3 linked regions of the Kluyveromyces lactis genome follow. The protein of the gene in region 3 interacts with the protein of the main gene of each other region in a pairwise test. Links are inferred from orthologs where the notes say so. Each region holds a gene or a part of one and is shown on either strand. Other genes may lie near its edges. The genes, in order: BUD4, MLC1 and IQG1.

The links.
Region 1: the proteins of IQG1 (region 3) and BUD4 interact in binary tests that used the Saccharomyces cerevisiae proteins (3 or more experiments, as listed by UniProt). The link is inferred for Kluyveromyces lactis from reciprocal best matches to the Saccharomyces cerevisiae genes IQG1 and BUD4.
Region 2: the proteins of IQG1 (region 3) and MLC1 interact in binary tests that used the Saccharomyces cerevisiae proteins (3 or more experiments, as listed by UniProt). The link is inferred for Kluyveromyces lactis from reciprocal best matches to the Saccharomyces cerevisiae genes IQG1 and MLC1.

Annotation. Positions count from the first base shown.
Region 1 is NC_006041.1:534,935-545,981, forward strand, and holds BUD4 (Bud4p), read right to left. Parts: upstream 5,576-11,047; coding exon 1,922-5,575; downstream 1-1,921. Other genes in the region: cleavage polyadenylation factor subunit FIP1, read left to right, coding at 821-1,708; JSN1 (Jsn1p), read left to right, coding at 7,058-10,342; SCF ubiquitin ligase complex subunit GRR1, read left to right, coding at 10,945-11,047. UniProt on the Saccharomyces cerevisiae protein: Required for establishment of the axial budding pattern in haploid cells.
Region 2 is NC_006042.1:962,139-971,235, forward strand, and holds MLC1 (Mlc1p), read right to left. Parts: upstream 974-9,097; coding exon 545-973; downstream 1-544. Other genes in the region: ERT1 (Ert1p), read left to right, coding at 1-389; KLLA0_F10461g (uncharacterized protein), read left to right, coding at 1,892-3,886; KLLA0_F10483g (uncharacterized protein), read left to right, coding at 4,279-4,563; DEAD-box RNA helicase PRP5, read right to left, coding at 4,598-7,036; ABD1 (mRNA (guanine-N7)-methyltransferase), read left to right, coding at 7,666-8,946; VHC1 (Vhc1p), read right to left, coding at 9,040-9,097. UniProt on the Saccharomyces cerevisiae protein: Essential light chain for the class II conventional myosin MYO1. Also acts as light chain for the class V unconventional myosin MYO2 and for IQG1.
Region 3 is NC_006040.1:1,100,497-1,111,542, forward strand, and holds IQG1 (Iqg1p), read right to left. Parts: upstream 5,460-11,046; coding exon 975-5,459; downstream 1-974. Other genes in the region: KLLA0_D12892g (uncharacterized protein), read left to right, coding at 1-819; GTPase-activating protein CIN2, read right to left, coding at 5,805-6,574, 6,668-6,749; Hsp90 family chaperone HSP82, read right to left, coding at 7,091-9,232; asparaginase ASP1, read left to right, coding at 9,668-10,861. UniProt on the Saccharomyces cerevisiae protein: Required for the assembly and the contraction of the actomyosin ring at the bud neck during cytokinesis.

The sequences.
Region 1 (11,047 bases), on a different chromosome or scaffold from region 3:
ATTTTTTTCCTTCTTCATCATATTTCTTACATTCATTCCTTTCTAATTCTCTACTTCATTTCAAATTACCTTCCATTTTTTTTTTTACTTTGTTTCTGTGGGTGCGGACACAAGGTGACCATGTTTAGTCAACCTTACAGGTCCCATAAACACTTCAAAAAAGAACATTCACTTCTCAATTGCAGTTTACAATCGACTTTTTTGAACATTCATTCTCAACAATGTCTGACTCTTTTCAACACATTAAAGACACTCACTCGCCTGTAATGTTTGTTTCCTCTGTTGTTTTCTGTCAATTTTTTTAATTAATTCACACTTTTACTCTGAAAAAACAGGACAAAGTATTATGCTTCGTCAATAAGATGCACTTTTTTCTTTGGTTTCCCTTGTTACTTTTCCATATCTTTAATTCTTACCATCGCATATTCTTTCAAGTTCGTTAACATCGGAAATCGATACTGTCCGCAACATGCACATCTAATTCTTCTGTAAATCATGTATTCTCATTAGCTACACATTTAACCCATATTATACATTCCGTCCAAACAAGCTGAGTCGCTGTCCGCTGTCCGGTGACAGATATTCATTAGAAATGTTTGTCATTGAATACGACAATAATTTACCCGGATATGCGTCGATTTAACAGCATCATTTTGGTAAATCTTAGCATTGAGAGTTAACTATTAGTTGATTTCTATATGAGAAGAAGAACTATCTTCCTGTTAAGATACCTTTTGGGTTGCGCAGCCTTCCAAACTTTCCAAGCATTTATTGATAAATCTTCTACCAGTCCACGAACGACATATAGAAACGAATCGTTATGAGCAGTGAGGATGAAGACGATAAGTTTCTATACAGCGATGAGGAGGATTCTAACGTAGTCGCAAAGCAAGAGGGTCCTGCATTGAAAAGACAAAAGGTCGAAGAAACACCCAAGATACTAGCTCATGATGTACCGGAAGGTAATACGAATGAGGTAGAGAGTGAGGCCTCCAATCAGGATAGTTCATCAGATGAGGATGACAGCAGTGACTCAGATTCAGATGTTGAGATTATCATCGGAACTGGTAACGATACCTCTAAGATAGATTCTGGTAAGTCCCAGATATCTGCTATAACAGACACAACGCCTCTTGGTACAGCGGATCATGCTATTGCAGCAGTGGCTGGTATATCGGACGTGGTTCCTGTACAGGAGGGTTCAATACCACCTGAACAGCAGCAGCAGCAACAACAAACTATTGATTTGAACCCGGATGCACAATTCGATGGGAAACCTATAGTACAGATCGATCCAGAAATTCTAAAGGAGAAGCCCTGGAGACAACCAGGAGCGAATATTTCAGATTATTTCAATTATGGATTTAATGAACAGACTTGGATGGAATATTTACATAGACAAGAACATTTGACGAAAGAATACAACCCACAAAAGATTTTGATGAACCTCCTAGCTTTACAGCAGCAAGGAAAGTTAAATGATCCAGGTTCAGGACAACCTGTACAGAATACAATCCAACCTCCTCCTCCGCCTATGGGACTTCCCCCCATGTTTGGTGGTTTCCCAGGATTTCCATTTCCGGGTATGATGAATAACATGCAAAATCAAAATGTATCAAGCATGAACAACATGAACAACATGAACAACATGAACAACATGAACAACATTAACAACAACAACAATAATAATCTCAACGACAAGAAATGAAATTTAGTGCTTGAGGCTCGTATTGATTGCAAGCAACATTAATGATATATAGCGGACATGTACATGTATTTTCGATTCCTTGATGGAATTGTAACACAGCTTAGTTTTAAAGACCTCATGTTGACATTTGTTATAATTAGAGAAATGACATTAATATACTATACTTCAAAAAAAATGGCAAAGACAAACTATATATCTGAATACTATAACAGTTTAAAAAGTAATGTTGTATTGTTCGTTTTCAAAAACTCTTTTGATCCATGGTTGATGGAATTTATTCAGTTCAACAACGCTGGTCAAAATTTCAACCCATTGTTGTTTTAAAAGATTAGAATCAGCGTTAAAATTTATAACTTCATCATTTGCAAAAAGGAGTTTGAAGCAATCGCTGAAAAGTACCATATCAGTAAAGTTTCTCATTTGTTTTCCAGTTGCCGTTTTACCATCAGAGTATATATCTACTACGTTTAGAAGATTCAACAAAGTTTGTGGTTTTCTGGTAACTTCGTCATGAGCTATAAGTTCAGTGCCTTTCAAAATCATATATCTTCTTTTCAACATTCCCTCTACATCACCGCCTTCTTGCCACAGGAATCCTTCATTATTGACCCTTTGCTGTTCAAGATACTTCTCGCAACACTTCTGAACTGCCTTCAGATTCTTTGGGAATCTTTCCATGGACGAAGTTCTTGGAAGATACATCACATCAACTGTAAGAGAGCAAACCTTAGATGGATTTTTCCGAGGAAGTTTCCATAATTCGTCTTCTTTATATGTTTGTGCGATTTTCTCATCAAATTCGCGCTCCCATTCATTGAGGAATTCAAAGTGTAGCTCATTTGTTTTGTATTTGATTTGTTTCAGCATATTTTTATTGACATTTACCTGGCAGCGTGCAAATGAACCATCCTTTGCGAATTTGAAGTCCCAATCGTCATATTTCAATTTCTTAGTAACAAACCTTTTCTCAAGCCTATACTTTGTTTTGCCGAACGCAAATCGTTTCTTGATAGGAATCTTCTCTACAACCTCAGTTAGTTGATTTTGAGGGCTTGTGTATCGAATTTTCATAGTCATGAATAAAGTGACGTTATTTGATTCCATGTTTACTTCAAATTCCTGACTCATTTTAATAGGACCATCTTCCGGAATGGATTCCCACGGTGTTTCAATAACCTCTTTTCCATTATCAAACTCTATGCAATACTTTGCATTATGGCGTTTAATTTGTTGTAAACGAAGCGAATTGATACTCTTTAGTTTCAAGTATAGTTTGCCATGATCTTGAAGCTCCGAGGATTCAAATTCTTGAAGGGAGTTTTCTAGATAAACAGAAGCTAATGATGTCGTCGGAGCTCGCTGCAGTCCTTCATTTACTTCTGTAGTATCCCTTTCGTAGACTACGGGCGATTGAGGTGGTGTTTCAGATCGAGCTTTCACTTTGAAGGGTGATCCTACGTGCTTAATTGGCGATTTTTTTGTGGTCTCTACTGACAGATCCGATACTGATTTTTGAACATCGTATCCCTCAATTTCATTCCCGAGTAACACCTTAACATCTTGAATATGCGACCCCACTTGAACGACATCTTCGTTTTGATTGTGAAGAACTTCAGCAATCTGTTGCTGAGTTGCCTTAATATCTACATTACCAGAACTGACGTCTCGGAAATGACCCCAAGTAGTTTGAAGATTCTTCTTTGAGTTCAATCGAGATTCTTCTGCCAACTTCTCTTCAAAGTCGTCTTTATCAAAATTGTCTAAAAAGGACGAAAATACAGTTTCAGTTGATTGCGGCGGCAAAAGTGTCAAATTCTTATGGGATAAAATGTTTGTAGTGTCAACCGCCTTGTCACTTGTTCTCGAAATGTCCCCAGTAATAATTGATTCGTTGTGTATACTTGGTTCCGAACTTTCATCCAAAGCAAATTTATTAGCAAATGGATACATTTTAGCTTGTGTCTTGAGTTCTTGCTGGATACGCTTGGACATGATAGTATTTCTTCTTAGCGGATCCAACTTACTATCATCTTGTGTGCTGAGGACATACTCATCACTGAATTGTCTAAATGCTTCTTGCTTGAATACATGAGAATTCGAAATGATTCTCGATTTGAATTTAAATGAACTTCCGCTATGATTTGTCGGCACTGATGATGTACGTGATTGAGTACTAAATTGAGAATTGGTGCTCAATGCTGGAGATATAAAACTGCCCCCTGTTTTCTGTGAGTGCCAAATTGACAGATAATTCTCCTTGTGGGACGACGAAGTTAAATCAATTGACTCGTGCGAGGTCTCATGGTCATTGAATAAATCCTGGTCAAACATTGTCGAAAGTCCATTCATAGGAGGCAAAGGTGGTAGCTCGATTCGATCACTTTCTCTCGAGAAGCTACTGGTTATATCCCTTCTTCCTTCGTCTTGAAACTCAACTGACATTTCTACATGGTGCTCTGGTGCCTGTTGTGCCTGTGACACCTCTGATACGCCCAGCAACTGTCTATTCTGGCTATGTTGAGACATATTATCATTTGTAGGACTTCCACTTCTCTCCGGGTTAGAAATCAATTCTGCCTCCTCTTGTTCTATTTGTTCCATAGTATCATCCGCGATATTGACGTCTGAGTTGAACTTTGCTTTATCATGCTGTACCGTTTCCATAGAACTGGATGTCTTCATGGAAGTAGAGTCCAGTTGAAAAGTCGGAAAGCAAGGCAACTCATTCGGTTCCGGGATCTCTAAGTCCTTTACTGATGCGTCATCAGAGAGTTCTTCACATCCAACAGTTGAGGACAAATCATATTCTTTTGCCGACTGGTAGTTGTCATTTGTAGTTGCAACACTAAATATTCTTGAAGCGTTAACGCTTTGAACACTTGATGACTTATAATCCTGCAATGTTAAAGCAGGCAACTGAGGGAGTTGTGGAACTGCTTGGGCACCGCTGAGAAGATGATACCGGTCCTGAAATCTGTGCGTATTAAGTTCTTGTGCATCTTCTGTCGATGAGCCAGATGAAACCCTTGTTTCCCCGTTATTATTTACGAATCTGTTGATGCAGACGTTAGGAGTGACTGGGATCTTAGAATCAAGCAGGAGATTGGTTGCTTCTTTGGTGTCTGCTGCCGCACCATCAACATCATCTTCATCAGGAGTGTGAATTTCGACTTGAATCATGGTTGAAGATACTTCCTTCGAAGGAAAAAGTGGTTTAGTTGGCTCAATTGTGAACACCAATGGTTTATCCTTTTTTGGGTCATCTTCCATGGCTTTTTCATCGGCCATTGAGAGCATTCCTTTCAATGCAGGCAAATTTGGATTCTCAGCATATTTCTGATCTAGGAAATGAGATAATCTTTCACCTACATCGGTGACCATCTTATCCTTCAACTCTAGGCCAGTTATTTCTTCGGAAGTATAAGAAGGAATTCTGGTACTTGCATTAATATCTTCAACAGAAGTGTCTGATCCATCATTTGAGATTAATCTTTTTGAAACCACAGGTTTAGTCTGCTGATAGTTGTGTTTGATCCAAGCAGTCTCTAGAGGTGCTTTATCGAGTCCTTCTGCCATACTTATGACATCTTCTGTGTTTTCGACAGTATCGTGGTCCTCTGTGCAAGATGTTTCTTTAATTTCGGTAGTTGTATTTGCACTCTCGTCACCCAACTGGAGAGCCTCCTCCTCTGTATTTTCAATGACATTCTCACTGGCGTCAATTTTCTTTTCATTGTCCAAGGTATCCTCTTCTGGGAGTTGATCAATGCTGATATTGTCGGTGTGAGAAATCTCTTGGTCAATCTCCTTCAAAAGAGAATACATTGCATCAGGATTAAGTGCCTCGCCTTTGTCTTCCATTTGCATTGCCCAAGATGCTCAGGTATATTCGACTAAGGGACTTAAATTGACGACGAATAAAATGGAATATTACCACTTCAAAGATGTGATGAGAGTTAAGATCACTGATTTAATCGTTAAAACAATTCCCTTCAAAAAAAAAATGAGATCTAGTATAAACAAAGAAATGAAAGATGTAAACCCTACAAAATACAACAATATATTATAGTTGATGAACATATTCAATGGGCAAACAAGTAAACAATGGAAACCATTGTTGATGGGGTATGTTAAATTTCCCTGTCAATCACCTAGTGTTTGTTGACAATATCTGAATTAGGAAATACGTAAACATCAAATTAGAGGAAAAACCAAAAAAAACACAGAATTGGCAAAGGAAAACGAGATCATAATTACATAAGTATTCACGTGATTTCAAATTTTCAACTAGCAGTAATTCCGGGTAAGTAAATTCATTCTATTAATATTTTATTCTTTTCTCCAGCCACCGACCTCCGCCTCATATCCGAGGAAACTCACGTGCCGAGCTCTTACCCGGATAATCATAGTTCCTGACAATTAATTACTTTTCCATTCGCTGGCAGAGATAATCAAAGAAAGGGCGTGCAAAGACAAGTACCAAGGAAATATAAACCTTGAGCTTCAATCACCAAGCTTCTTCGCAGAGGCATACTTGCGTATTATTTTCACTGGCTCTAATTCTAAATACTCAGAGTGTGATTCGAATTGGATCATTTATTGTCCTGGTAAATCATCATTTTTTCTCTATATACGAGAAGAGCTGAAGATCACCATAATAGGGGCATAATGCGCGCTAAATTTGTGCTGCGTCGTTAATACTGAAAAGTTCCTGGGTTTTCAAACATATGTACTATATATAAAAAAAACAGTGTACTGTGGCCAGTACATTAGCAATATCCTAACTGACAGGATTTTCTAGCTTACTGCCTTGCTGTCATTCGGCGTTCTTCTATTTCCTTTATTTTATTCTGTTCGGCGTTTTCCAATAATCGAGAAAATTTCAAAATCCGATCCCCTTTTCATTCATCTTCCTTTTATTCTACCTGGCTATGGTAGTATATTTGTTCTAGTGTTTTTTCTAACTTTGTTAATATTTCATCATTGTCATACTATATTGAAATATAAAGAAGGCATTTTTAAATATTGAGAGCTGATTTGATTTGATTTGAACCAATTTAAACTTTAGAGAAGAATTGAGTTGTTTTGCTAAAAAAACCCAAACCAGTCACTCACCGAGTTAGTCAAAAGGGTATATTCACTGTGAGATTCTAGTGTAGTCGATTCAGAAGACAAAGATATACTTTTATCTAATAATTGGCTCTTACTTTCATTGACCCGACTCTAGTGTGTTTAGAAAACCGAGATATAAAACTTATCAATCAGAGCTAAAGCTAACTTTCCAAGGAACAGGTCAAAAATAGCAAATAGGTTTTTTTCCCGGCTTCTCGCAAATATCCAATTCACGTTATGGAGAAGAGGAAAGCTTCCGGCGATTCTATGTCAGGATTGTCCAACATTCCGGAAGTTATCGATCCAGGAGTGACAATTCCCATATACGAAGATGATTTCACCTTAAGTGGTGGCAATAATATAGACCAGCTACCAATCCAGCCACAGAAGCTAGGTTCTTATAGATCCAAGGCAGGGAAATTCTCCAACACGCTATCGAATCTTTTACCTAGTATCAGTGCGAAATTGCATCATAATAAGAAGGGTTCAAAGGGTAGTAGTGCCGTGGGAGAAGGTAACCATTCTGGTGAGTTAAGCTCGGATGATGCGACTGCAAATACCAGTGAACAGACTTCGAAGTCGGGTTCTATAGCTCAGATTAATTTGTCAGTGCCTGGACATATCACCCCGCCACTTGACGTAGATTACAATCAAGCTATTCATCTTCCGGATAGTTCAAGTCTTTTGGTCCCATCACAACCAAGGCTTTCCGGTGATTCGTTCACTTTTGCCACAAACAGCGTCCCGCTTCAACCAACTGCATCAAATACCATTTCCAGAACTAGGAACAATACCGTTTCATCTCAAATTACTGGCCCTTCTAACGTCAACGGGTTGGTCCCAAATGTCGGCAATGTTTGGTTCCCTAACGATATGAGTGTGAATCCAATGTCTCCTCCTGGCATTCAAACAACTACTAATCCAACTAATGTCAATAATAATAATAATAATAACAACAGCCATTTAGCACCAGGTACGTATAGTCCTTATGAGGCAACTGGTAACTATTTCGATCTGAACACAAGTTCTAATAACATTAATAACTTGGGTGTACCTGGAGCAACAACAGCTGGTGCCCATCAGTTCCAATCTCAACAAATTGGAGGGGTTTGGAATTCGAGACCTAGGTCTCAATCAAATGCGTCCAGTATCTATACCGACGCTCCAACCTACGACCAGATGGATACTAGATCTAGGGCTTCTACTTTCATTATACCACCTTCTATGGATCCACAACTAAAAGCCACTGCTGCTTCTACCAACCCAATTGTTCAAGATGACATGGATTCCAGATCGATCAATTGGGTGACAACTGATCCATCAGTACCATCGATCAACCACATTTCAAACTTATTACCAACTAATACCATATCCATCTCTAATGTCTTTTCATTGCAACAGCAGCAGCCTCATTTGTCCAATACTGTCAATTTGACGAGTACAAGTTTGGCAACGTTGTGCTTGAAATTTGGAACTGTCATTTCAGCACGGACCTTGAGGGGCGTTAATATGGCAATTGTTGAATTTGCCTCTGTGGAAGCTGCCATCAAGGCAAAAGAGGCTTTGAATGGTAAAGAAGTATCTCTAGTCGGTGCTCCAAGTACTGTTTCCTTTGCAAAAGTCTTACCTATGCATCAACAACTACCTCAGACTCAGCAAACTCAACAGCAAAATAACCATCAATCTACTGCCATCAACCCTCAGTCCCTGCTACAAGAACAGTTATTCTCAGGCGCAGTCCAATTCCAACAGCAAGGTAACGTATCCGTTCCTTCTTTTACTGGCAATACGCACGCACAATCGAGCTCTCAAGCATTTGTGTCACCTACCAATCCATCCTCAAGTAATTCTGAGAAGGAACAATGTCCATTCCCACTACCACCACCATCTTTCAAGGAGAATATCACTTTGTTGAACGATACTATTAATAAGTTTGGTATCAATTATGATACATCTCAGTACCAGCATATCATTGCAAACGCAATTGAATACAATGGAACAAGTGATACTACTGATTTCGGTCCATTACCTGAGCCCTTATCTACAAGGGAGTTCGATGCCCCAAGGCTTCGTGAATTACGAAAAAGTATTGATTCTGGACAAATGTCAGATTTGGAAATTGAACAGCTAGTTCTAGCTATGTTGGATGAAATACCAGAACTGAGTTCGGACTATTTAGGTAATACTATAGTACAGAAACTATTTGAACATGCCTCTTCCGTCATTAAAGATATTATGTTAAGAAAGACAAGCGTATATTTGACATCGATGGGTGTACACAAGAATGGTACTTGGGCATGTCAAAAGATGATTACAAACGCAGATACCCCAAGACAAAAAATGTATGTGGCAAACGGAGTCTATAAGTATTGTACCCCATTGTTCAACGATCAATTTGGTAACTACGTTATTCAATGTGTGTTGAAGTTTGGTTTCCCTTGGAACAACTTTATCTTCGAGAATATTGTTTCCAACTTCTGGAATATCGTGCAAAATAGATATGGAGCTCGTGCAGTCAGAGCTTGTTTGGAAGCCCATGACATAATTACTCAAGAACAACTCTTATTACTTAGTGCTATGATTGTGTTTTTTGTGAAATATTTAGCCACCAATAGCAATGGGGCCCTTTTGGTTACGTGGTTCTTAGACACTTGTACTTTGCCAAAAAGACACTCAATACTTGCTGAGGCATTATTACCAAATATTTTCGAATTAGGGTGTCATAAGCTTGCCTCATTAACAATTTTGAAAATCTTGAACTATCGTGGTGATGAAGTTGCCAAAAGGGCTATATTAGATACTATCTTCGGCCCTATGGATAACGAAATATCTTCTAAACCACCTCAGCTCTTATATCAGTTGTTGAGTGACACGAATTATGGACCATCTTTTGTTTATAAAGTTTTGTCTATTCCTATGTTGGAAGGAGACGTTAGACACCATGTTATCGAACAAGTTCGCTACATTTTGACCACAGAATCTAATATCACACAGCATCGCAGACTCTTGGAAGAAGTGGGCTTGAATGCAATAAACAATCAACCATCTACCGCTCAAACCAAGCCAAGAATGAGTATTTCCCATGTTTTTGGTAATGACCATCCTCAACATATGAGGACTGTTTCCGTCAACAGTGTCAGGTCGGCATCTTCTAGACCAAGAGCCTCCTCGAACGCACAATCTCAACAGCAACCCATCCAATCTTCTCAGGTCCAAGCTCAGTTACCTCAACAATCCCAATCTCAACCTCAGCATCAACCTCAGCAAGCGTCCATTTCTGGCATCTCTGGGCAAGCAAGCTACTACACCTACCCTGGCATGTTTCCCGCTTCACAACCGTATCAGTATTCCACGTCAACCAGTGGTCTGAATGATGATTTAGTGTCAAATTTTGATATGCTGACATTCAATAATGGCACGCAAATATCCTTGCCGCAACTAACAATGAATGGTCAACCACTCCCCCATTCTCAGAATAGACATCATAATGGACAGTTTGGTGATGGAATGTTCAACCACTGATTTGTTCACGAGCTATTGTTACATACTAATAATATTAAAAAAAAAAAGAAAATGTGGCACGTAAGACGCTAAAGTATCCTGTGGGGAACATCCCTGTATAATAAGAACCTCCCCTCGCTTCCCTCTCATCTATTTCTCACCTTCTGTTTCATGATCAAAAACTTACACAATTATTGCAAACGACTCCTGATCCTACTTATGTTATTCCAGGATGATGATTTTTACGACCTAAAACCTATTAAAACAAGCTTGCAGCACAAACTGCTGTCTCGATCGATGACTTCATACACTTTCGTCTCATAATATAGATATAACTTCTCCTTTTCATCTTTTAAATGTACATAAATATATTATATATACCTCGATCTTCAAAGTTTATTCTTCTCAGCTTCCTCTAGTTTGACAGTATTCGTCTTCTGTGATACTTCTTAGTATATTTTGCGTAATTTCTATGTCACAAAAAAAGGTAACCGCTCTCTCCTTGCTGATTAAACGTTTTATGTGATAAAATACAGGTCCAATTAAGTGGAGCCAATAGTAGATGAAACTCAAAAGGAAGTATTTGTACTATTTTGAGTGATACTTAAAATTGCTACGCTACAATGGACCCACAGCAACCGGCATCCGATAATTCTGAATGGCAGTTTCAGGTCAGTCCTGGCGCTGCTTGGAATTTAAGAGCACAAGCCAGGAGGGGCCAGACAG
Region 2 (9,097 bases), on a different chromosome or scaffold from region 3:
CTTTATTAGAGTATGAGAAATTCATCTCTCAGGTTGGTACCCCAACTTGTGTATGGAGACGTAACGGACAGATCAGTTATGTGAATGACGAGTTTTCTCTATTGACTGGCTGGAATCGTCTAGAACTACTCAACAAAATGACCTTCATAGTCGAATTGATGGATGGTGATACGGTAATGGAGTACTTCCAAACGTTCACTAGGGTTGCATATCAGGGGTTCAGAGGTGCTGAAACTATGCGAATTTGTAATCTATTAACCCCGATCAAGGGAAGCGTTATTAAATGTTGTTGTCTATGGACGCTAAAAAGAGACGCCTTTGGTTTACCTATGATGATAATAGGGAACTTCATGCCAATTCTCACCCTACCAGAAGACGTTGGGTTTTGAATCTAGAACTGTCACAAGTCAATAGTATCGGACTGCTTAGAATAGAACAAAAGAGCAAAGCTCCTGGCGTGTGAGATTGGGTATTTATATTTATATATATATTTGTATTATACTAACTAATGCATGTAATCTTGAGTTGCATTACATCCTCTCTCTTATTGTCTCAATACATCTTCAACAAATTTCTTGTAGTCGATCAATCCGTCAGAGTCGATTTCGATCCCCTTCATCAATTCATCAACTTCCTCGTCAGTTAACCTTTCCCCTAGACCGGTCAATAGGTAACGAATATCACCTGGTGATACCTTGCCAGTATTATCCTTGTCAAAAACTTGAAAGGCTTTGATGAAATCCTCTACTTTACCTTGAGTAGTTTGCTCCAACTTCTCTTCGTTATCCTTAACTAATTTTTCTAGATCACCTAAGGTCAACTCGTCACCTGAAGAAGCGACAACTTCCTCCACTAGCGCATTGGTAGGATTGTATCCAATTGCTCTCAAATAATCACCAACTTGGGCCTTACTGATGGATCCCTTGGCTTGCTTGTCAAATAGCGTAAAAATATCTTTGTTGATTCTGGACATGATGATTGATTTCCCACTTCTTCAATGAATAATACAGTACTGCGTAATTAAATCACGATTCAGTATCACTTAGCCTAGCAAGAAGTAGATACTATTTAAAGCTCCAAGGTAAATATAAATCTATTCGAATGTGTAGAACAATGCATGCCTTCCTCCAGTAAATATATCAAATGTAAAGATACTCTTATTGTTTACGTTTTTCAAAATGGAAAACAAATTATTGTTTCTGGGGCCTCAAAAGCTCTTTTTTTGGACGACCTAAAACTCAGTCAGATATCATTTACCCGGATTTTAAATACCCATCACGTGAGTCAAATATATTGTTACCCGCACAATTCAACATCGCATTTCGAAAATTTCCAACCTTCCCTCGTTCAGTTTCTTTTCCTCAGCATCCAATGTTCCTGACATCTGATGACACTTTTTCTTTTGTCTTCTTGTCGAGCGATGAAAAGTGTTCAAGCTTCTTTTTTGATATGACCTATATAACAAAAGCGATTATTAACATACTCAATAACAGTTTTTTATCGTTCAGTGTCGTATCACTTTTGTTAACTAAGACATAATTTTCATTGTTGTGTTTTCTTTTGTTATAGCTCAGTACTATATCACAGATCAGTATACCGTTTAAACTCTGAACATTATATTGTGTTCCTTCGTTCATCAGTAAAAAAAAAGGTATGTGTGACTACTATGTCCGATTACAATAGGTTCGGGTTTCCCTCAGAGGCGATGGATATATATATATTCCCTAAACTCTAACACTATTCAAGATTTTAGACTTTTACCTATAAAAAAAGTCTTTGGTTCATATTACTAACAAATTCTTTTGATTATTATACACAGAGCTAATCAACTGTTCGTTATTAGTGTTTTTTCCGGTTAAAAAGAACATCTTCTTTGCCATTGTCTAAAACCATGTTTAGACTTGTCCAACAACAGACCCTAAAGAGTAGGGTCCCAAATCAGTTCGTTTCTGCGTCCAGAAATTCTTTAAATTCCCAGTTCCGTTTCAACAGCGCTGTCGCACTAGAGCGTAATCCTCAACAGGATCCAACAACTGCAGCACCAGCCAAGTCGTCTTCGGATAAGAGAAACTCTAAGAAGAAGTATGAAAATAATGAAATCATTGAACGTAACGTTAAAAAGGTCCGCAACCTAAGAAGAAACATAAAATTCGATAATTTCAAAAACTCTCCTAATTCTCCAGCTTTCTCTAAACTTAATGCCTTGGATGACTGTTTGGCCAGAGGTTTGGAAGCATCTTCCTCTCGTGCCCCCGATGGTAAATTCCTAGATCAATCTTCATTGTTTTGGGATTCGGTCAGTAGTAGTATGAATATCTACAGGGAGTTAGTCATCACCGGAGACTTAAACAACCATCGTGCAAGTAGGGTTATTCAACTCATGCATGTTGCTTTGAAGGTCAATAGAACCCAGTTGACTAGCATGAACAAGAAGCCAGATTATGATTCGCAATCTTTCCACAAGGAAATGACCAATTATTTGTGTGAATCGCTTAGGGAAATCTCTGGTGATATTTTAGCTAACCGTGTCTCAGTCAGTGAACACGGTGCCGCTCATTTGTTATCCTCTTTCAAAGAATTACTGCTTTACGAAGAAACTTTGAACATCTGGAAAGCAGCTGTGAATTCTGAGAACAAGGATATTGTCAAATCTTTCATGTTTCCAAACGTCGTCGGTGTCGTTTTACCATTACTATATGAAAACGGTACCACTTTCGAAGAAATTAAGAAATTGTATGAAAAGTCCGCTAGTAATACAACTAGATCTCATGGAAGCCCTAGTTTAGTTTTGGGTATGATTAAGACCTCGCTTGCTGCCAACGAAAACGAGCATGCTTTGTCCCTTTTCCAAGAGATGTGTACATCGGAAGGATTTGGTGTTTCACCATATGCGGTTTTGACGGGAACTCATTTGGCCTTCATTGGTGAATGTAAGGATTTGTATGTGGCTAAGAGTTTCTTCGAAAGGGCTTTGAGTAAAGACATGCCCTACAAGATCAACTTGCAGGTTTCTTCAGTGAAACAGTTAATCCAAAATATTTGGGATCAAACCCATGATTTCAACGAAGTCGTTGATGTTTGGACCAAGGCTACCAAATATTATGGTAAAGATGTTTCCCATGGTATCTCATCATCATTGAACTCTAAGTTCATTTCAATTTTCTTCGAAAACTATGTTACCGACAAAGCAGCTGGTTTACAGCACCTTCAAGAGTTGGTAACAGCGTATGACGAAATGAAAGCTATCGATGAACCCTTCTTGAACATCATTTTAACTAAATGTACCGTTTGGCAAGATAGAAATATTATCGAATCTATCGAAAAGTCATACGAGCTATACCACATTCCAAAGACCATCGTCACCTACCGTATTATCTTGAAGGCTATGGGAAGTATCAGTGTTCCAAATGATGTCATCCGTGAGAAATGGGTTCAATTAATCCAAAAAGCTGATCAAATTGGCCAGACGTATATCGCCAATGCTGATTGGGCAGCTCTAAGAGATGCTACTGTAACGTACACCCAAGAACAGTTTAAAAACGGCGGCAGCTATGAAATGACTACATCTGATTCTTATAATCCAGCTTTGGAAGCCGCTAATGCCAGTGGGGCATTTGATGATTTCAATGAACCTACCTCCGGTACAAAACATGCTGATCACTTGAATACTCAAACCAATAAAGAAGATAATGACAGAATTCTACTTTACTACCAATTGGTAAAACGTTACGGTGTCTATTGTAGAGATCCTAAGCAATATGCTCGTATTACCAGTGGTATTGCATTGAATTTCGAAGTCGCACAGCCATATCTTGGTTTGGTTAATACAATGGATGTCTCATCGATATACGTTCCGCCATTGAGGAATTTCCACTTGAATCACTGATAGATATTCAATAATAATTTCAAACATTCATTTTATCAATTTAACTACATTGACTAACGATCTTTGTATGTTGTCTGTAAATATATATAATATAGATATACCCTTTTCCACTTATGATTAATCTAATGAAAGCTTATTTAAACACATATTCGTCTTTAGTTGACAACTCAATCGGGAAGCTATATATAAGTTATTGTATATTTTGCAATACTTGGTTCTACATAAAAGTTCTCTTAAAATATCTAAGAGTTAGATCGTGTGCATCTCTTTTAAGGTAAAAGCTGAACAAAAATCAATTTAAGTTGAATCATATCTACAATTATTACAAACATAGATATAAAACGTACAGGATAGAACGAAAAAAGAGAAGCCATTGCTAAGTCATACTGCCGATGGGTCTATGTGGTAGTAAGCCTAGTAAAGGTGTGCCGTTGGCCGCTGATAGTTCAGCACCAAAATCAAATAACAAAACTACATCAAAAAAGAGCACGGGAAGACCGATTGATGTCACGCAAAGTCACCATACCTTATCTCCAAGAGAAGCTGCAAGAGTGGCCGCTGAACAGCGAAATGCTAAACTTGAAGCTGCCAACGCCAAAAGTGAATTGAGTCAGAAACTAGCCCATGAGCGTGCCAAATCCAGGAAAACGCATGTGATGGAAATTGCGCAGAAATGAAACATGTTGGTGAATGATTGAAATTGAAACTAAATTACATACGATATTTACCTGATTGGATATCCTTCACTGCTGCTTTTCGTATTCCCTCTTTAACCTTTGTATTGAGGAGTTCTAATGCCATTGTTACGTCACTTTCTTCTGCACCTTCCACAATCAAATACAATTTAGGATCATCAGTGTCATTCTTTGGCCCTTTTCCTTCAGGGTAGAAGCTACCTTTACTCTCAAAATTACATCCTGTCTCCTGTTTGATGTTCGAGACTGTCTCTGTTTTCGTTGCTTCCCACCTCGCAAGTTGCGGAAGGTCGTTAATATTTATATGTGCAAAATATGTTGTGGAATGTCCTTCTTCCCTTTTACCTCTTGTGTATTCCATTTTGGTTGCTCCGCTTTCTTCCTCTGTCACATCTTCTTCATTTTCAACGACACCATAGTCAGTATATTCTTGAGACTGTTTTGCTTCGTTTAGCTCGTCTAAGTGATCAAGACCTTTTCCACCAAAACCCTGGATCAATCTGTATTTTCCAGTCTTTAGTCCACTCGAAAATTCGTCGTTCATTTCCTTCAATTTTTGATAGACAACCATCGGCACAGAGCTCAACTCGTTCTCTTTCATGCACTTCACCAAAATATAGGCAGATGCAAGTTCATCAACCATAACGAAGGAGAGCGCAACGCCGTTATTAGTCCCACGACCAGTTCTTCCTACGGTATGAACGTATTGTGCGATGGTCTTTGCCGCATTGTATATAATGACAAGAGAAACCTCTGGCACGTTTAGACCTCTTGAGAGTACCTCAGTACATATCAAAATTCCGTTGTCAGTTTCTTTGAATTTTTGCAAGTTGCGAAGACGTTCTGCAGAAGGTTTGCCAGCATGGATAGGAAAAGTGGTGATGCCATTAAGTAAAAGCTCGTCATATAAAAGGTCACAAAGCTGCTGGCTTCCAACGAAAATAATTGTCTTTTCATCTTCACCACGATGCAAGGCTAACCGATCCGAAAGCCTTTTAAGTAGGAACTCAAATTTAACATGTTCCTCATCAAAAATTTGGACTCTCTGCTGAATGTTCTCATTAATAAGTGATTTAGAGTTTATAGTAATTTGAATAGGATTCTTTAAGGTTCGCGATGCAAAATGTTTGAGCTTACTTGGAAATGTAGCACTAAAGAGAACACACTGCTTGTCTGGACGGATGCAGCCCATAATTTGGTTGACTTGGGGTCCAAATCCAAGGTCGAAAAGTCTATCTGCCTCATCCATAACAACAAACGAAATTCTTGTAGGAGATAACAAATGGCCTGAATTTAATGTCATAAGATCAATGAATCTCCCTGGAGTTGCGACAATGATATCAACACCTCTTTTCAATTCATTGATTTGTTGCTTTAACTCCGAGCCTCCCACGCAACAGATGCTTGAAATGCCAGACCCTTTACAAAATTTAAGTGCCTCTTCTTGTATCTGAACGGCCAATTCTCTGGTCGGTGTCAATATAAGACCAATAGGACCAGTCTCATCAGGAGCTAAAGGTGGCTGAGCCTTGATCTGTCTAACAAGTGGTAGGAGAAAAGCGACCGTTTTCCCTGACCCAGTTTTTGAGATACCAATAACATCTCTGCCTGACATAATAGCCGGTATTGCCTGGCATTGAATTGGTGTGAGGGTTACAAACTGTAGTTCGTTGGAGATAAGATCCATGATTTCAGAGGACAAACCAAGCTGTGACCATTTCGTTACAGGTTTGGGACAATCTTTCCCTGAGATTTTAATGTTATCTAATGATAATCGAAGTTCCTCCACATCTTTCTCTGACATCAATCCCAAATCGTTCGGTTCACGATAAAGACATTTATTTAATGTTATTAAGTTTAAAACTTTAGAGTAATCAATGGCTTTTATTTTCTTTCTACCCTTCTTTTTGAATAATATCTCTGAATCAACCGGAGCTTCCTCTTGAGATATCGTTTTCTCTGAGCTACTGTCGTTAGCATCTTCATCCTCTGAAATATTATCAATAAGTCTTACTCGGTTAGTATTCGAATCTTTATCGATAAGCTTGTGGATATATTCATCCAATGCATCATTCCCATCATCCAAATCATCCTTGCTGTTGTCTTTTGTCAGAACATGAGTATTTGTATCGTTTCTACGCGGCTTGAATAACGTTGATGTGGAATTTTCATCATCAGATTCACTATCACTTCCCCCAAAAGCAGGACGTTTTCTCGAACACTGTCCCCTTCGTTTGTTCCTGTCCCTATCCGCAGACTTTATACTGGTAAGTTTTATATCCTTTTGCTTGAGTTCATCTTGTTGTTTCTTCTTCTTCTTCCATGCCTCTAGTTTCTTCAGTCTCTCTTCCTTAGCATCTACAGAAACAGATGCTGTAACATCATTATTCAGTTTCTGTTTTTTCCACTTAGCAAGTTTCTCTTGCCTAATCCGTAGCTTTTCCGTTTGATCCATAACGCTCACCTTCGTAATTTAATTGGGTCTTTTTTCTTCTTTCTGTGTGCTATCTTTCAAGTATTAATCCTGAATGGTTTTAAGGTTTTGTTAATTCAATATTATAGGTATTTTGATATTGAAGGAAATCCTTTCCAAATGGGTATTTTAAACTACTAAATGAAGATGGGAAACACGCTACCTAGTTCATTGCATTCAGTTCATATGACAATTGTCTATATTCTTTGTTATAGTGTCTAAAGTTGACTGATCTTCTAAAGCATCTATTCATTATTTCTTCATTTAGTCTTAAATAACAACTTCCAAAGTGACATCTGAAGTCAAAATGTACAAGGATTAAAAAATGCTATATGAGAGCAGTTGAAAGGACTCTTCATGAAACATTCGAATATGGAAATGAAGCTGAAGCATCCTATACGTTAAACAGCATACTTCTTTTGTAAATGCCTGATCCCATCATTCCCTAAGCGATTTAGCCTTTTTTAGTTTAGCTTTCCCGTTAATATTTCTATATAGTCGATCTTTAGAATGTCATAAAAGTAGTTTCATTCCAAGAAGGTAACACTGACTTGGAGTTCAATAAGGCTTTCGAAACAGGCCGCGACATATCAATTGCGCAAGCTGTCAGCATGGTGTTACTACCTGAGAAGCCAGTATGGATGTCCCAGCAACAATATGAAGAGCAATATGGTTCGTTGCTTAAATTGAAAGAATCAGAGAAGTGCAATCATGAGGACAAACAGCTAGCATTACAACCCAAAGAAAGTAGCATCGGATATTCGACGCAGGAAAGAATAGCAAAGCTTTCAGTACCAGAAGTTCAAGATGACGACAAAAATAGCAAGGTGCGCAACAGGAAACATCAGCGATTTGATTTAGAAGAGAAGAAGAAAAAGCTGAGGCTGCAGAAGACTATAGAAGAACAAATAAAACATCATGATATTGAAATGACAGCTAATAGAGTCGTGAATGTTGACCATGTTGTCAGGCAACATTATAATGAGCGTACGTTTCTTTCCAAAAAGCATAACAGAAATTATTCTCCTATCATTAAACTTAGAAACTTTAATAATGCTATCAAGTACATTCTCATTGACAAGTTTACAAGAGCAGGAGATGTAGTCTTGGAGCTTGCCTGTGGTAAAGGTGGTGATTTAAGGAAATATGGTGCCGCAGGAATATCACAGTTTATTGGTATTGACATTTCCAATGCTTCAATTACCGAGGCGCTTAAACGTTATCATTCGATGAAGAACCTTGAATACCAAGTTATTCTAATTACTGGTGATTGTTTTGGTGAGTCCCTTGGGGTCGCAGTTGAATCATTCCCAGAATGCAGATTTCCTTGTGACATAGTGTCATGTCAATTCGCTCTACATTATGCGTTTGAAACCGAAGAGAAAGCTAGACGAATGTTGCTTAACGTTGTCAAATCATTAAAGATTGGAGGATATTTCTTCGGTACCATCCCAGATTCAGAATTTATTCGTTACAAGATGAACAAAATACCTGAATCAGTAGAAAAGCCATCTTGGGGGAACTCTATCTACAAGGTTACGTTTTCTAATAATGAATACCAGAAAAACGGCAATGAGTTTCCATCGCCGTTTGGACAAATGTACACATTTTGGTTGGAAGATGCTATCGATAACGTCCCTGAATACGTTATACCGTTTGAAAGTTTCAGAAGTTTGGCAGATGAATACGGTATGGAATTAGAGCTGCAAAAGGGATTCAATGAGTTCTTTGTGGAAGAGATCCCTAACTGGGTAAACAGATTCTCACCCAAAATGAGAGAGGGATTAAAAAGATCTGACGGAAGGTATGGGGTGGAAGGTGTAGAAAAAGAACCAGCTGCATATTTCTACACAACATTTGCATTCCGTAAGGTTAGAGACTATCAAGAGTAATTGTATCTGGCGACGATTCCTTGATGAAAGTTAATAGTGATTCATCTATAAGCCTCTTAAATACTAACTTGAAAGATATTTTATATATTGGAACTATAATGCTGTTGTGACAGTCATAGATTGTGAGTTTATTAGTATAGTTGGTGGTAAT
Region 3 (11,046 bases):
AGATATTCTGCTACTGTACTTACTTTACACAGTTATGTCTTCAATCCGGTGAAGTGTCTATTCAAAGTTGGGCTTTGGCAACTACGCACTCTGTTTTCAGAAGAACTGCTAAGAAAGATTCTAAATATATCCAATACTAAAGCGTTAGATGTGTATGCAGAAACTTTAAAGGGCATGCTTTCAATCTCGACCGAAAAACAGCTTCAAATTATCGGATTCCCTCTATACCTTTTCACTTTTAAAGCTAATGGTACAATACCTCTATTGTTGCGAATAGTGTTCCCATATTTCTTCCTCAAGAACTGCGGAACTCATAAACTCCTGGGTGATTCCATAAAGCTTCACGGTATGCTAATCGGAGTTTATAATCTCTTGATTAGACCAGCATTAAATCAGATTTACGGCAATTGGATACAAAAATATAATCCATATTTCCTATCAACGCAGGTGGCTCAAAAGAGTGTCACCAAACCCACTGTTTTCAATCTATTCCAAGAAGGTCTTGAATATTCAGATGTTATAATAAAACCGCAGTGGTACGATGCCCTCCTTGCTGCACTAGCTTGGCCATTTTTGTGTAAATATTTGGGCCGAAAGCTTTTTATTGCATTCCCCAGGATAAACTCAATGCTATTGAACAGGTATCCTTACGCGTCACCAGATGATTGTGAGATGGCACACAGCTTAATTTGCAGTTTTGCCTTGTACGTCGGATACGAATTTGCAAAAGCAGGGATGACTTACCTCAGACTGAAGGAATTAAAAGAGATCCAAAGAATTGTAGAAGTTTCACCAACTCCTGAAACTGCTGTTGAGTGATAGTTGAATTGTGTATTTTTAAGTAATATGATGTAACGAAAGTTAATAATAATGAAGTAATTTTAATTGTCTTGATGATTAAGCTTTGGCACAATAAACTAATTATAATGTTCTCAGAAATAGATAATTACAAAAGTTCTAACATTGAATATTATTCAAAACCTGAAAAAACTGTCAACAAGCAAATCTAGTAATTTGCCAACGTTAAGAACCATCTTCTCCTTTCTTCCAAGAATAGAAATCGTGGAATGGCGGTCAGCTGCTTCTTTTTCAATCAATTCACTAAACTTCACAACAGATTGTAAATTAGAATCAAACTTGTTCTTATTGTCAATCAACTCAATTCCAAACACTTCACCATCTCTAGTAGAGAATTTGAGATCAACATATTGAGACTTTGATCCACTGGAACCGAAAAAGCTGACTGATGAATTCTTAGCACCATTTCCAGTTACTTTCGACAAAACGCCTAGCTCGAAAAGCTGTTTGTTGCTCCATTTATAGTTCATACCGGCTTCTGCCTCATGGCTCTTCTTATGGTTCTTTTGATAAACATCCTTCAGCTTGTGACCAAACCCACTTTTCTTGGCTGGCGTGTAATCATGCAAGGATTGTATTTCTTTTATGGATTTTGTGATAGCAGTGTCCATCGCATCAAGAAGTAGTTTCGTGTTACGAAGCTTGTCATTCAGCGAATCATAAACAGAAGTCATTAGCTCCATTTCAGAGCGATTCAATCCTTTAATACATGATCTAGTTTTGATAGTATTAGCGATGTCGACCAATAAGAACTGATAGTCGTTACTCTTATCAATTATTCCAAGAACAGTAAGCTCTTTGATTCTATACATCAAAAACTTTTTGAACTCAGCATAGTTAATAATATCACCGTGCTTTTCAGATAAAGTATTAGCAATGCTTGGATTCTGTGCGATGAGCTGTTGGAAGGCAATTTCGTCCTCTGGTAGTACTTCGCTAACGAGAAGATCCGTTAAATTGGAATTGACTTCCTCAACCTGCATCAAATAACACAAGCCCTGCTTTGCCTCGGTATACATCAAGTCAGATCTGGAATTGTTTAGAGTAACTTTGTATGCGGAAGGATCCAGGCTTATGGTGAGTTGCGATTGTCCGTTGACGGACGTTTTGTCGAATTCAATCTGAATTTTCGAAAGAATCTTCACCATAGGATCATCATGTGGTAATTCTTCCAGAGTTCCTTCCAATTTTTCTAGAATCTTGATGAAACTTTGATGATAAATCATAAGTGATGGTTTTGAATTATTTGCCATATCTTTGTAGACCATTGTTTCATATTCTTTACTCTCTTCAGGCTCCATCAGTAATTCCGTCAAGATGTCAGAGAATTGATTGTGAGATTGAACTAGATATTGGTTCAATGGAGAGAAGTAACCATCAAAAGTTTTTAATGCAAATATAACCTTTAATGTTTCTGTTAAAACCCGGGCCTTTTCATCGTAATTGAGTCCGACAGTACTGGAGGAGAAATCAGATCGTTTCATCAAGGCAACGAAAATGAAATTATCTACTACAATCTTGGAAATTGCTGATAATGCAGAACTTTCTTCGGTGTCCTTATTAGCAGAGCTTCTGTATGCCCTGGATGCGAGGTATTTTAAATCGTTTCTTGTTGATGATACAATATGATCTAATACTGCACAAACTAGTTCCACAGCTCCCCATAGAGAAGTCATGTTTTTGATGAATCTTTTGCTGGTACTTGAGTCCTCAATAGCTTCATGTGCCAATTGAGGTGGAGCAGTAGGATGCAATTTAGCATATATCTTAGATGGATCGCTCTCAAAATCAATTGCGTTAGAATCAAGATATTTGTACAGCTGTGCAAAAGCGGTTAGTATTTCTTTGCTTCTGAAAGAGGTCAAATAGTTCTGAAGAACCTGAATCCAGACAGCATCATCGTTCACTAAAAAGTCATTCAAAGTTGAAGATTCATCAATCTCCTCAACTAGTAAGTCTCCAATGACCTTAATAAGTAATGAGTTTTCTCTGTCACCAATAGCACCACGGATTGGAGCAAACAACTTTGGTAAATTAGTTACACAAAATCTCGGATCTCCTTTGGCAAGAAGATGCCAGTAAAATGAGTCAACTTGTAGCAAAAAACCTGCTTTACCGTACAAAGACTTAAGATTTGCTGAAATATTATCGCTGCTAATGGCGTTAAATTGGATCTCTAATTGTTGACGTCCAGCTGGCGTGAGGAACTTACACACATCAATTCTTCTCTTTTCAAGTGAATCTTTCATCAAAACCTTCTTTCTCAACGATTCTTGCAGTTCTCCTACTTCATCATTAACATCATTAATATTAGCCTTGAGCTTTTGGAGGTTAGCAGAGAATAGTTCGTTATCTGATTGATTAAGAATGTGAACGAATTTTCTAACCGTACTTAACTTCGGACTGCCCGTTGACATTAAAACTTTGTATGCGTTTTGTAGTTGATATCTTCTGATATTTTTTTGTATAATGATGATCTCAGATTCACGCATTTTGTAGAAGCTCTTCTTCTGGCTTACTCGTTTTCTGATTAAATAGCCTAATACTTTGGATTGTAAACTATCAATGTTGTTTTGTTCGGCAATATCTATAATGAGTTCCATGGCAAACCTTGTCAGCATCCCCTTTACCACTGCATTAAAGCTGACAATTTCATTAGCAACTTTACTTGGGGCGTCAGTGTATCTCCTTGCAACAATATAACCTTTCAAGATAGGCCCAAAGTTTTGGAATTGATCGCATGACATTACTTCTTTTACCCTTTGCAGCTTACTTCTTTGAAAAGCACCCCTCAGTAAAGCCTGTAATTTTATCTGTAGATCACCACTTGATGCTTCCATCATCCTAAGCCTTACGATTCTTCCACGAGATAAAGCCTGTAGCGCGGATGCTTCGCTAGAGACTATGTTCGATATATTATGGTAGGACATAAAGTTTCCTCTTTGTAATTTGGCTCTAATAACTGCCTGAAGGACAGAGAATGTGTCCCCATATATGCTCTTATACCGAAGCTTTTCCTGAGTCAATTTTCTCTGTGCAGAACCTTTCAATTGTGTTTTCAAATACAAGATGTAGTTTTCCCTTTTGATTAATCTTAATCTGAAGTGATCGAATACATCCCTTTGTATTGACCCTCTAAGGCGAGCTTGTAATGTCACCAAAGCTTCATTTGGCTTATGGTTCTGAACGAAGTTCTGATGTTGTCCTCTGATGACTGCCCCCTTACAAAGCGCCTGCAGTTCTGCAAATCTGGTATTGCTATGCTTCAGCGTAATTATCTTCAAATGGACATCGTAACGTGTATTAAGACCTCTAAGTAATGCTTGCAAATGAGTGACAGTATCCAAAAACTCTGTTTCGGTCATTCTTTCACGTCGTTTTGGCGAATACTGGGTGCTGCCATACCTATAAGTATCGTAATAATCAAAATCATAATTCCATTGATGCCTTTTCCTGTTGAAGTACCCGATGTCTTCTGTTCTATAGGATAATCTCCTTGACACACCAGGCGAATAGTAAGAGAATGTCCTATCAGGACTATATTTCAAGCGCTGTGGGCTAGACTCCGTTGGATATGAAAGAGATAGTGGCTTCGTCTCAGAAAGCGAAGGATTGAATTGACGTATGTCGTGCACGATTGCAGAAGAATATCTGGTAGGCGTCTTAGGAGATTCTGGTATGCAAACTTCAGGCTCAGTTTTTAATTTCACAGGACTTTGAAGAACTGCTGAGTCCAGTAATCCCTTTTGTGGAGACTTTTTAGGAGATGATGGTTTGGAACCGAATTGGTTGAATGATCTAAAGGCATGTACACCAGGAACTTTCCTTTGACAGAGCTTGATATCATCAATAGAAACGTCTATTTGACCAGTCAGATTCTGCATTTGCGGAATGATGGTCCCGTATTGAGCACTTAAGAGACTAGCTGTTGCATGTATTGTTTCGAATACTTTGGGGATGTTCTTTCTATCGTACAAATCGTTTAATTCAAATTTGAAAAGGTCAGGGACTGCAATATAGTTGACAAGTTCTAAAAAGGCATTGATGTTTTGTGTGTGAGCATACATCAATCTATCACCAGTAGGTATAATTTTTTTTACAAGCTCAGGTTTGACAGTTGCAACAAGTTTAGCCAAATATACACCATCACTCATACACTTTGTTGTAGCCAATTCCAGCGCTGATGGCAATTCTTCGTGAATAATAGCCTCAATCCATTGTTTGGCTTCTTCAATTCTAACCAAAAACTCTTGGTAATCGTTATCCTTTGAAGATGACAATTTGGATGGTGAAGAATTGTTACCGTTTACATTGTTACCAGAAGCACTGAAATAAGACGGTTTTGTTGGCGAATTCTTCAAGATGAAAGATAGCTCTGCTGTGACATTGTTGAAATTCTCTTTTCCTGGTGAACCACTGTATGTGTTTTTGGGACTTTTGGTGCTGCTCAGAATTCCTTTCAAGTTAGAATTCGAATTTATTCTTGAAGAAGATATTTGCTTAAGAACCGGCTGAGAATCCTTATTAATATTTTTCATATATTCCTGCATCCTAGTATTGATCGAGTCCGACTTCCCAGGAGAACCTGTCAGGACTGACATATTTGTTATATTAGTTTTAGCCTCACTGCTACTACTCTTTGTCGATTAAAGCCGTTATAACAGTAAAAAACACTCACACTCAAGTTAAAAGTAAATTATAACTTGCTATAAGTATTATGGTACTGCTAGATTGAATTAATGACCCTTTCCAAGTGGTGTTCACTACCGGTAACTAAACAATTCAATGTTTTCAAGTTTCTATAATCTACAGTTATATCGAAGTTTTGTTGATATTTACCTTTTGCCTAATACGATCGAAATGAAAACACTCGAGAACCACTGAGACAGAAATACGTTTCAAGAAGTTAAATTATTGTCACATACAGTTCTTTGTAGCATCACTATTCATGGGATTAGGGAACCTATTTCGTACGGGAAGTTTCCGAATGTATACCCTCCGTTAGTTTCCTTGTTTTGTAAGTTTAATCGATTGAAATTATGGATATGAACGAATTTCTCAGTATCCTCGTGGAAAACACAATCTGAGAAGTCTTCGATGATGATATCTTGGATCTGGCCAGGGTGTTGTTCCCTTATGTAAAGTTGGCAATTGTGCATTTCATGTAACCGAAGTTGAAGATTGCTGTTCTTTGGTGTTATTATCACTATTTTACAGTGGCCGAATCTTTCAAGAAGAAGACTTCCCTGATTAAACGGCAAGATGTTGAAGTACACAATTGATTTATGGACATCCTGGATTGACAGAGTTGCAAATTCTTGCAATGGTTCAGTACCTGTGTATTTAAGCGTGCAATTCGTAAGGTTTCGATAAGAGTTTTCAGATATGTCGTAATATATCGTAGTATCTTTGAGCTGGGGAGAGGTAACAGCATCCAGTTTCTTTGAATTTTCTAGGGAACTGTCCATTACAGCTGCTGAAGTCTTAGCAGATGGACGGCCTCTAGCTTTCCACTTTGCTCTACGGTCGTCTTTGTTACTGGTCTCTAATTGCTTAATGGTAATTTTTTTCGACAAGTGATCGATCTTGGTTGAATATAACTCTTGATCGAAAGACGAAAGGTTATGAGCCACTGAAGTCAACTGTTTCGAGACCGAGGAAAGATCATCCTTACATTTCGCAAGGTCCTTGCCCGTATCAACCTGATATTCAAGTTCTGGAATGGATTTCAAATCACAAGATTTAAGAGAGGTTAGTAAGACCGCAGTTATACCTTAATATTTTGTAGCGTTGCTGGGAAGGTACATACCTCGGCATATCGTATTAAACTCTGAGGAGAGGATATTGGCGTCTATACTGCCATCGTCTTTGATGCAATGCAGTATTGTCATGTCGGTTGACCGTGTGCGTTACCAGGGAATGCACAGTTTTAGGAAATGTAATGTAATAATAACAGTTATTTGAATAATAATGTGATTGGTTAAATTTATGTTGATATAATTTACAGATGAAAACTAACTCACTTTGTATAGTGTAAATATAGATGTATAATATATATAATATAGATTTATCTTCTCATAGATCCATCAAGAAGCCAGTTCCGAGAGAGGTCACAATCAGTGGAGGGTGTTTGATTGATGATTGATACTATTTATTAATTGGGTAGTGGATTGGGGGGAGATGATTATTGAAATTCCTTTCATGAGAATATGTGATAAAAAGAAGAGTTTGCTTAATCAACTTCCTCCATTTCAGTTTCAGCGTTTGCTTCTTCAGCTGGAGCTTCTGGAGCGGCTTCTGGAGCAGCTTCAACTTCTTCATCTTCATCGATGTTCAAACCCAAGGAGATCAATCTGTTGATTCTGGATGCGAAGGAAGATGGTTCTTCCAAGGAGAAACCGGAAGTCAACAATGCAGTTTCGAACAACAAGTTAGTCAAGTCCTTGACAGTCTTGTCTTGAGCACCACCTTCTTCGACCTTGTTCTTCAATTCTCTAATGATTGGAGACTTTGGAGAGATTTCGAAGATTTTCTTGGAGGCCATGTAGGAAGACATACTAGAGTCTCTCAAGGCTTGAGCCTTCATGATTCTTTCCATGTTAGCGGACCAACCGAATTGACCGGTTCTGATAGCGGCTGGAGCATCCAACAACTTGTGGGAGACAACCACCTTTTCGACTTGGTCACCCAAGATTTCTTTCAAAGCGGTGGTCAAAGGTTCGAATTCCTTAACTTCCTTTTCTCTTTGTTCCTTTTCTTCTTCAGTTTCTTCCAATTCGAAATCCTTGGTAATGTCAACCAATTGCTTACCTTCGAATTCCTTCAATTGAGAGAAGGCGTATTCATCGATTGGGTCAACAAGGAACAAGACTTCGAAGTTCTTGGCCTTCAAGGCATCCAAGAATGGAGATTTTTCAACGGCCTTAATAGATTCACCGGTGATGAAGTAGATGTTCTTTTGGTGTTCTGGCATTCTGGTGACGTAATCGGACAAAGAAGTCAATTCGTCAACAGACTTGGTGGAGTTGTATCTCAACAACTTAGCCAAAGCAGCTCTGTTTTGAGTATCTTCGTGGATACCTAACTTGATGTTCTTCGAGAAGGCGGTGTAGAACTTGTCGAATTGTTCAGAGTCTTCCGCGATTTCGTTGAAAGTTTCGATCATCTTCTTGACGATGTTCTTCTTGATAACCTTCATGATCTTGTTTTGTTGCAACATTTCTCTGGATAAGTTCAATGGCAAATCTTCAGAGTCAACAACACCCTTAACGAAGGATAACCATTCTGGGATCAATTCTTCAGCTTCATCGGTAATGAAGACACGACGGACGTACAACTTGATGTTGGTCTTCTTCTTCTTGGATTCGAACAGGTCGAATGCAGCTCTCTTTGGAACGAACAAGATAGCCTTGAATTCCAATTGACCTTCAACGGAGAAATGTTTCACGGCCAATGGGTCTTCCCAGTCGTTGGAAATAGACTTGTAGAAGGCATTGTATTCTTCTTGGGTGACCTCGGATGGGTTCTTGGTCCACAAAGGCTTGGTCTTGTTCAATTCTTCCAATTCCTTGACAGTTTCCTTGACCTTCTTAGTCTTTTGTTCATCATCCTTCTTTTCTTCGTCTTCGTCAATTTCTTCCAACTTTGGTTTCTTGTCATCTTCTTCTTCTTCTCCTTCCTTCTTCTCTTCCTTTACTTCTTCTTCTTCTTCAGCAACCGGAACGTCCTTTTCGACTTCCTTGGTGACGAGTAATTGAATTGGGTAAGCAACGAATTCAGAGTGCTTCTTAACAACATCCTTAATTCTCTTTTCTTCCAAGTATTCCAATTGGTCTTCTTTCAAGAACAATCTCAACACAGTACCTCTACCGATTCTCTCGTTGGATTCGTCCAAGGTAACGGTGAAAGAACCACCAGCGTTGGATTCCCAGATGTATTGTTCATCGTCGTTGTGCTTGGAGATAACTTGAACTCTGTCAGCGACCAAGAATAAAGAGTAGAAACCAACACCGAACTGACCAATCATAGAAACATCTGCACCGGCTGACAATGCTTCCATAAAAGCCTTGGTACCTGACTTGGCAATGGTACCCAAATTGTTAATCAATTCAGCCTTGGTCATACCAATACCAGAATCTCTGATTTCCAACACCTTTTCTTCTGGTCTAGGAGTAATTCTAATAAATAATTCTGGTTCAGTCTCCAAAACCTTTGGATCTGACAAAGATTGGTATCTAATCTTATCCAAAGCATCCGAAGCATTGGAAATCAACTCTCTCAAGAAAATCTCCTTGTTAGAATAAACAGTGTTGATGATCAAACTCATCAACTGAGTGATCTCAGCTTGAAACTCATATGTCTCTTGATTAACCATTTGTACTAATTATACTATGTTATAATTTGAAATCCAGCTGTAGCCACACGAAAAAGACCCTAGACTATCGATATGATTAGACTCGATTGCTGATGTTAGATGTAGATCTAAAAGCATTAACCAATTCTTAAACAAGTGGGAACAAGATTTGCCCCTTCAAAGTACCAAACCTGTTTTTTGCCGCCTTTATATATTTTCACGCCTTGTTTTTCCAGAATAATCTATGAGAACATTGGACAATTCGCTGGAAGAGAAGTATCAACACCGTGGAAAATGATGGAAAGAAGAGCCATAAAGCCATTGGGCATTTGGTCGAGATGAGATGAGGCATGTGATATAGAAATAGGTTCCTTTTGGTTCTTTACGTTTCTAGGGCCAGGATAGAAGTAGAGCCAAAACCAGAGCCAAAGCCAGAGTGTCTGCACTAAATTTACCATGCCTAATAAGAACATTGATATCAAGACCATCAACTCTGATGTTGAGTTATCGCAGTTTACTTTGCAGCCTGTAGAGCCAGTATATCGCGAGGAGACTTTTTCTGGCAGCGATGAACCGATAACTGTGGGCCAGGAAGTGGGGTCTAGTAATGCGACGACGACGACTCCGTCGTCGTCGTCTCGACTAGTCTCCAAACGTCATTTACCCAGAGTCAAGATCTTGGGTACCGGTGGGACTATTGCATCTAAAGGTGGTAAGGCTTCTGACACTGCAGGGTATCATGTTGATTTGACCATTCATGAATTGTTAGAGGCTATCCCGGACATTACGGACGTATGTGAAATAGAGTACGAACAGCTTTGTAATTTCGATTCGAAAGAAATCGGACTGGCAGAGTTGTACAAGATATATACAGGCGTCTGTGATTCTTTGCAGAAGTTCGATGGGATAGTCATCACTCATGGTACCGATACGTTGGCCGAAACGACCTTCTTTATAGAGAGTACGATTGACGCTGGCCAAGTGCCAATTGTGTTTGTTGGGTCCATGAGACCTTCCACGAGTATCAGTGCGGATGGTCCGATGAACTTGTATCAGGCTATTTGCATAGCAGCTAACCGGGAATCTCGTGGTAGAGGTGTATTGATCTCATTAAACGACCAGATCAGTGCTGGTTACTATATTACAAAGACCAATGCGAATTCGTTGGATTCGTTCAATGTTAGACAAGGTTATTTGGGTAACTTTGTCAACAACGAGATCCATTATTATTACCCACCGGTGAAACCAATCGGCTGTCACAAGTTCAAATTGAACCTGGAGGATGATCTTCAATTACCGGCAGTTTGTATTCTATACGCACACCAGTGTTTCTCACCGGAACTTGTCGAGATGGCTGCGGAAAGATACGATGGTATCGTTATTGCGACGATGGGTGCTGGATCTCTTTCCACACCAGTCAACGAAATGTGCATGAGACTCAAGGTCCCGATCGTGTACTCCAAGAGGTCCATGGACGGTATGATTCCTGTGGCAAACCTACCGTTACCACCCTCGGACCCTTCTTCCACAATCATTGCATCAGGTTATTTAAATCCAGAAAAGAGTAGAATTTTGTTACAGTTGTGTTTGAAGCAACAGTATAACATGGAGAAGATAAGAACCGTGTTCAAAGGCGTCTACGGTGGGTGATATGAGCTCACGTTCCTCTCGTCATATTCAAAATGATGTGTATTATCGATTATAGTTTAAGCATCTCATATAATATTAGACAATAAAAGACCCGATCAGGGTTCGAATAGCTTGTTAAGAAACGCATCACTTTTCGAAAATGGAAATAAATTCCGATATTGGATTTACTAGCTTCCTGCCCAAGG